Linked DNA regions of Sus scrofa. The protein of the gene in region 1 interacts with the protein of each later gene in a pairwise test. Links are inferred from orthologs where the notes say so. Each region holds a gene or a part of one and is shown on either strand. Other genes may lie near its edges.

The links.
Region 2: the proteins of SREBF2 (region 1) and SP1 interact in binary tests that used the Homo sapiens proteins (3 or more experiments, as listed by UniProt). The link is inferred for Sus scrofa from reciprocal best matches to the Homo sapiens genes SREBF2 and SP1.

What each region holds. Positions count from the first base shown.
Region 1 is NC_010447.5:6,742,944-6,746,747, forward strand, and holds part of SREBF2 (sterol regulatory element-binding protein 2), read right to left. Parts: intron 3,243-3,804; coding exon 3,061-3,242; intron 1,857-3,060; coding exon 1,580-1,856; intron 1-1,579.
Region 2 is NC_010447.5:18,587,150-18,591,053, forward strand, and holds the start of SP1 (transcription factor Sp1), read left to right. Parts: upstream 1-1,613; 5' UTR 1,614-1,791; coding exon 1,792-1,798; intron 1,799-2,300; exon of another isoform or gene 2,301-2,702; intron 2,703-2,878; coding exon 2,879-3,033; intron 3,034-3,366; coding exon 3,367-3,904. UniProt on the Homo sapiens protein: Transcription factor that can activate or repress transcription in response to physiological and pathological stimuli.

The DNA.
Region 1 (3,804 bases):
CGTCGAAGGTAAGACGGTGGCGCAGCCAGGCCTCCCGCAAGAGGCATCTTCCCCAGGGGAGGGAGGGGCTGTGTGGGGACCATGTTTTGGTCCCCGCTGTCCTCTCGGTGCCTTGCTCAGGGCCAGGCCCACAGAGTGCTTGTTCCATGAATGTGGCGGGAATGAGCGATGTGAACCATCCCAGCAGGAATGCTGAACCCGCTGCAGCCTCCTGATCAGAGGCCTGGGACAGGGCTTGTTCCTCCCCCAGGGGCCCCGACAGGAGAGAGACGCAGGCAAGATCTGCAGACGGGGCACCTCCGCTGGCCCGTCTCTGTCTCCCGTTCACCCTGGGGCCTGGCACCACCCCACTTCCAAGCGGGAGCTCCCTCAGCCACCAGGCCTCCCATCCCCTTCCCGTGACCCCGTGCCCTGCTGCCCTCTGCCCTCATCCTATCACAGGGCCCCTCAGGAACCTCCCGTCCTGAACTCTCTCTGACTTTGCTCCCCCTACACCAAGCCTGACTGCTCCAACTGTCCCCTCTCGGGCAGCTTCTGCCCAACTCCCTGTCCCCTGCCTGTCCTTCCCATGCAGGTCTCCTTCTCGAGGGACCCCCTTTCACCACAAGCTCCCCTGGTTTTCATCCCACCTGCAGGCCACAGACCCGCTCCTTTTCTTGGATGGCGGATTCGGCACCCCCCCGCCCCCCCGCCCCCCAGTGTCTCGCAGGCAAGTGCCCCAAGCAGAACTCCTCACCTGCTTCCTGTTTTCCTCGCCTTTGTGGTGGCAACACCATTCACCCAAACTCTCTCGAGAAACCAGGAAACCGTCTCAGCATTAGCTTCTACGAGGCCTCCCCAAAGCTGGTCTTAACCCTCTCCGTCCGAGGGAAACTTCACAGCTCCAGGGGCACCGATCTGAAGCCGCCATGCCCTTCCCCGTGCGGCTCCCATCGCCCTCCCCTTGCACAGCCCACTTGGGGACCATTCTTCCCAAGAGCCACCCAGGTGGGGCTCCTCCTTGGGAACATCCTTCTGCGTGGAAGGCACACGCGCCTGTGCAGAGCTGGTGAACTCTGCACTCCTTCTTCCATACACATCAAGACTTTCCAGAAAGCCTTTCCTGAAAGCCGCCCCAACAAGTACCCTTTCCCTCCCGACTGCAACCCAAACCTTCTGCTGCCTCTACCACAATGAACTGGCATTCACTTGCTGACCTGTCTGCTTCTCTACCGTAGCAGGAGTATGTCGAGGGAATAAATGATCATATTTCATTGAATCTAAGATGGCATCAATTTTAAGTTTCACCATTAATTTAAGTACCACCAAGGGAAAAACACTGCCAACTCCACCGTGACATTCTATGCGTAGAGGACACAGCCAAGTGTAGACATTGTTACTGGGAAAAAACGTGCCTCTTAAACTGACGAACTACAATCTTTGCAGCCACGGCTGTGGGTGGAAGGTCTGTCTAATCATCTTAAATGAACAGTGTAAAGGCGACTTCATTCAACTGGGGCAGAAAACTAGCAAACCAAGCCAGGTGGGGAGATGGCAGGTGGCACCTCGAGGCAGGCTGGGCAAGGCTGGCCACCCTCACCTGTGATGTGCAGCTGGTGCAGCCTGTGATAGGCCAGGGCTGCATCCCGGGCGCTGCTCTTGGCTTCATCCTCAAAGCCTGCCGAGGTGGCTGGGGTGGCCCGCCGGTGCTGGAAGACCTTCTTGAGCAGCCAGCGTACCAGGCGCAGCTTCTGCAGGCTGTAGCGAATCACGTTCCAGGAGAGGCTGCAGGCCAGGTCCAGGCGGGAGGTGGGCAGTGCCCGGCCCAGCACCGACAGGCAGGTTTGCAGGTTTGCAGCGGCAGCTGCAAAATCCCCCTAGCAAACAGCAAGAAGGTGCAACGTTCGCTGGCCTCGAGGCGGCCTTTTCATTCTGCTTGTTAGAAATACAAATTCCTGATCTGCCCCCGACCTGCCTGAGTCACCCCGGTCCAGGGCCTTCTCACCCTCAGTGCCCTCTCAGCATGTCCAGAGGGAGCCACCACTGCTTCCAGCCTCCCCCATCTCTGAGTCACTGTCACAGCCACTTTCCTTCCATTTTACATCTCAAGTCTTTCTTGAATTCATGAATTCCAGGTCCTGGCCACCTGCCACCCGATCTCTTCTAGGAGCCCCCCCCCTCGCTCTGTGCACTGTATCTCCCCATCCCTTCACACAGCACCAGAAGGCATCTGTCAAACACAGGCCTGCACCTGCCTCGAGGAGGTACATCTGGGGACGCCTTTCTTGGGGAATCACCCTGCTCTAAGGGGTAGACCCCCAACAACCACATCTACATTTTGCAGCCACAGCCCCGGACACGGCCCACAGTTCCGGGGCTGTGGAACAGACGGGCTGGCTGGTCAGATTCTCTTGTGGGTAATGCAGCTTGCGGCAGGAGAGCAAGCCCGTGGCTGCTGCTGCTGAGGGCTGTCCTGGTTCTTGTTCCTCCAGAGACATGGATGTTTAAGTCTTCCTCCAGTGCTGTGAATTGCCCCAAATCCTTCCCCAAAACTCCTTTGTTGATTTCAGAAGAACACTTTCAGCTAATTTTCCTGCTCAAAAACTTTCTTGATTCTCCAGAGAACTGGAGAAAAAGCCCCAAATCAGTTACTGAACAAACACCTCATTGACTCGGGCCCTGGCTCCACTATAAGCTTAGCCTCCCCCACCCCCAACACATCCTACACACCGGTTGTACCGTCTACTCGCCAGTCCCCAAGCCCTCCTCGCCACCGGGAAGGTCCTTTCTGCCCGTGACGGCTCGGCCCAAGCCCCAGATTCCTTCAGCCAACGCTCATCTCTTGTGCCCAAGCTCCCACCACACTTCGTGGGCTCCCTGTCATACCAGACTGGAGATCACCTCCCGTCCAGGGATGGCTTCCCCCGGCGCCCTGGCCTCCACTGCCCTGACTGCTGGGGCGGGGTCCCTTCCCCCCCTGGGTCCCCTGGAGTACTTTTATGCACTGGGGTACAGGACACATGCTGCTGAGTTAAGGACCGAGCCCGGGGGAGGCTGGGGAAAGGGGGCCGCAGAACTCACCCGGGCGAGGTCCAGGTCTGCCTGCTTCCGGTGCCTCCAGAAGGTGACTGAGGAGCGCGAATGTGGCCGGATCACTGGCTCCCCGTGGACCAGCAGCTTCACAAAGACGCTCAGGACGATCACACCATTTACCAGCCACAAGAGCAGCGTGGGCACCATCCAGTCAAACCAGCCCCCAGAACCTAAGGAGGAGCATCCCCGCTGAGCCCTGAGGAAGGGCCCCCTGAAGCGGCCCTGGGAGCCTGCAGGGCACGTGACCAACCCCGGCAGCATGAGAGCAAAGAGACTCCTACCTCATTTCCAGAAAAAGGGCAGATGTCAAGACTGCTACATTTACCAACAGTGTCTAAGTGCTTAGGGCACCTTAATCCACACCACAGGCAAATGTGGGACAGCTCTAGAACCTAAGTGGGAACCCAGCAGCCCTCGTCACCATGGAGAAGAGCTTCACGAAGGTTAAACAAGGTGGGCTTAGGCCACTGGCATAACGACTCCGGCAGTAAGAGCACATCCTCCCTCAAAAGGCCCACCCCTGGCCCCCACAACTGTGGTAGTGCGGGGCCCTGATTTCCTCTGCTCTTTCTGACTGACCTTGGGTTTGCCTTTTTTTTTTTTTTTTTTTTTTTTTTTTTGACATTTTAGGGCCACACCTACGGCATATGGTGGGTCCCAGGCTAGGGGTCTAGTCAAAGCTACAGCTGCCGGCCTACACCACAGCAACGCAGGATCCAAGCCGTGTCTGCG
Region 2 (3,904 bases), about 12 Mb from region 1:
GTGGGATCCAAGCCATGTCTGTGACTGTACCACAGCTCATGGCAAAGCGCGATCGGATCCTTTACCCACCGAGCGAGGTAGGGAATGAACCCGCGTCCCCATGGCTCCTAGTCAGTTTCATAACCCACTGAGCCACAATGGGAATTCCAACATTCACCTTCTTCAGGCTTTGCCCAAAGCAGTAGAGGCCTCAGTTTTCGGGAATCCATACTTTAAGACATGATAGTAATATGGAGAAGTGCCGAGTTGTAGATAATGAAGTGGCAACATAGAACCTACAAGGGCGAAAGAGAATGGCTTTATGTTATTGACAGGCCACGCAGGCTGCCTCCACCAAAACTAGGGTAAAGGAGAGGCAGAATGAGTAGCCAGAAATTCAGGTGTTTCGGGAAAAATCACCTCTAACCTTTGCAGTTGCAAAAAGCAGGCACTCTATCTGGCTACTTGCTTTATGTTTAAACGTTATTTACAATTACGGGGTAGAGGCAGGGGCGGGGGTGGGGTAGCAGCTTACAGGACCTCGAACTCCAGGAAGTCCTCCAACACTCTTTAGCCTCAAAAGCAAGCTCTCGAAGAGTTAACCGGCCTTAAGTAGCTATCAACTTTGGGGGAATTTAGTAAAATGGCGTTTGCTGGAGTCTCACAAAGACCTTGCAAATTGGTCAGTGCGTTATTAACCTACTGTATGAGCGCCCTCGCCAGATCTCCTTGCGCCAGCACCCACAGGGGTTACACCATATTCTGAGGCATCCGCCTGCCAGTCCGCCCACCGCGGAGGGGGGAGACCTGAGAGGTACTTTTAAAAGCGGTTAAGTGAAGACTCAAACAAGCCCTGATGTCGAGGAAGAAATGCGACGCGCCGCGGGGCTCGGCCCTGACACTTGTTGAATTGCAGGGCTCTGCTGAAGCCTTGCCACCTAATCACGGTAAAGACGTCCCCAGAGGAGGGCCAAAATGGCGACGGACTCCTCTTGGCACAGCCCTGTTACCTCCCCGACAACTGGCGCCTCTAGTAACGCCCATTGGCCAAGCCGGAGGCGGTGCCTGGCTTCCCTCGCTGCCTCATTGGGCTGAGTGACTGAAGCAGCCGCCAATTCTCCCCTGCCTACTCCAGGTTCCCGCCCTCACAGTTTAAGCAGCATTCAATTGGCTTTTATTCACGTCAATTTGTGTCCTAGCGCGTCTCTTTTCAGTGTTAATCCAATCATAATTTTCCTGGCCGCCCGCCTGATTTCTGATTGGTTTTGATAAGCTTCATCCTATCCCATTCCTGTCTACTTTTTACCACCTCCCACCAGGACTTTGCCCAGGCTTGCCCAGGGTTTTGGTTGGTCGCTGTTCTGTCATTCCAATGAAAACCCTTCCTATCCCTACGTCTCAGCGAGCCCGCCTGGCAGTTGACTGGTTTCTCTCCAAGCCTATCATCTCTAAATCCCGCCTATCTTCACTTCCTGCACCTTTCATTGGCTTTTAAAACTGAGAGGGCGCCCTTTTTGGGCGGACACCACGCACGCAACTTTGTCTTACACGCCTTAGAGAGCAAACGAGTCTCGCCATTGGGTAATTTGCCTGTCTTTCTTTTGCAAGTCCCTCCTTTCACCCTCCCTTATTGGGCGGGGCAGCAGTGGAGGGGCGGGGCCTAGGCCGGGCTTGTGGCGCGCTGCTCCCTCCTCTTTACCCCCCCCTCCCTGTCCGGTCCGGGTTCGCTTGCCTCGTCAGCGTCCGCGTTTTTCCTGGCCCCCCCAACCCCCCCGGACAGGACCCCCTTGAGCTCGTCCCTCAGCTGCCACCATGAGCGGTAAGGATGAGTCCACTCCAAGCTTAGGGGTGGGAGGGGAGTGAGGGGGCGCGCGCGAGGGCCGACCGGGCGGTCCCCGCCGTGAGGGGGGCGGGCGGGAGGCGGCGGCGGCGGCCTTGGTCCCGCCCGGGGCGGAGGGAAGGGAGGGAGAAGGGGCAGTGGCGGGGCCTCGGAGGAGGAGGGGGATGGGCCGCCCGCCCCGGGGGAGGGGGCAGCGTGGCCTCGCCCGCCCCCTGCCCGCCCCAGCCACGGGGGACGGGCCTTACCCCCCACTACTCGGCCGCCCGCCTGAGGCTCCTCCTGCCGGGGGCTGGAGCCGCGGGGGCGGCCCGAGCAGTGCAGGCCCCGCCCGGGCCAACCGCCTCCCTGGTCCGCCCTCTGGTCGCCGCCGGCCCCAAGGCCCTCCTCCCCCCACCCCCCGAAGGTTACCCCTCCCCCCCGTAGATTACCCCTCCCCCTACCGTCCCGCCCTTTCCACGCCCCTCACCCCGAAACCGCCCTTTCCTTCTAGGGCCCGCCCTCTGTCCGCCCCGAAACTCCTGATTTCTAACCCCTGGACCTCTTTAGCCCCTTTCTAGTATTCACAAATGTTCCCCCCTACAAAACTTTTTATCTCATCTTTTCTCCTTCCCCTTCCTTTCCTCTTGTGACTTTCTACACTTGAATTCTTCCCTTTCTCCATCTCCTTTGACCCTAATTTGAGCAAGCTTTCCATCCACCCACATGTTTTATGCCTTATCTATATTTCTCCTTTTTTTCCCCGCAGGATACTTTTAAACTCCTTCAACATGTCCACGGACCCTTACATTGTCTATACCAAAAGCACCTTTTCATTGTTTTCTGAGTTTAATTTTGTACGAGGGAGAACTGCGGCCCAGTTTTGGCACCAAGGGGCCCAGTTCAGGTCTTCCTAGCCCTACAGCTGTCTCTTCTTCCCCAATCCTTTTTTGTTTGTTTGTTTAAATACTGGGACTTTCACCTTCCTGTTAGTCATTTTTGTTTGGTCCTAGTCTTCCTTACCCTTCTTCATTTTATCTTTTTTCTTTCCCCAACTTTAAGTTATCTTTTAATTCTTTTTAGACCAAGATCACTCCATGGATGAAATGACAGCTGTGGTGAAGATTGAAAAAGGAGTTGGTGGCAATAATGGGGGCAGTGGTAATGGTGGTGCCTTTTCTCAGGCTCGAAGCAGCAGCACAGGCAGTAGCAGCAGCGGTGGAGGAGGAGGAGGGCAGGTAGGTGATCATCTGGACAGAGTGGGCATCGTGTTGAGAGGATGTAGATATTCTTAGATGATTGTCTTTTCACAAAAAAATTTTTAGGAAAGGGCTAATTTACAGATAGGGAAGTAAGTACAGAGACAAGTGACTTGGAGATCCCCAAAGATGAGAATTTCAAATTTCAGCAGTGTAGATAGGTTGGCTTTTTGTTTGCTTGGGGGGGGCACTGTTTTGCTGTTTATTTATTTATTTTGGGTTTTTTTTACTGTTTATTTTTTTCTACTGCCCCCAGGGCTGGCAGCTGGTGTCACTAAACTAATCTCTTTCCTCTCCCTTATTTTTGGCCAGGAGTCCCAGCCATCCCCTTTGGCTCTGCTGGCAGCAACCTGCAGCAGAATTGAGTCACCCAATGAAAACAGTAACAACTCCCAGGGCCCAGGCCAGTCCGGGAGCACAGGTGAGCTTGACCTCACAGCCACACAGCTCTCCCAGAGTGCCAATGGCTGGCAGATCATCTCTTCCTCCTCTGGGGCTACCCCTACCTCGAAGGAACAAAGTGGCAGCAGTACCAATGGCAACAATGGTGGTGAGTCTTCCAAGAATCGCACTGTCTCTGGTGGGCAGTATGTCGTGGCTGCCACATCCAACCTGCAGAACCAGCAAGTCCTAACAGGACTGCCTGGAGTGATGCCTAATATTCAGTATCAAGTAATCCCACAGTTCCAGACGGTTGATGGGCAACAGCTGCAGTTTGCTGCCACTGGGGCCCAAGTACAGCAGGATGGTTCAGGTCAGATACAGATCATACCAGGTGCAAACCAACAGATCATCACAAATCGAGGAAGTGGAGGCAACATCATTGCTGCTATGCCAAACCTACTCCAGC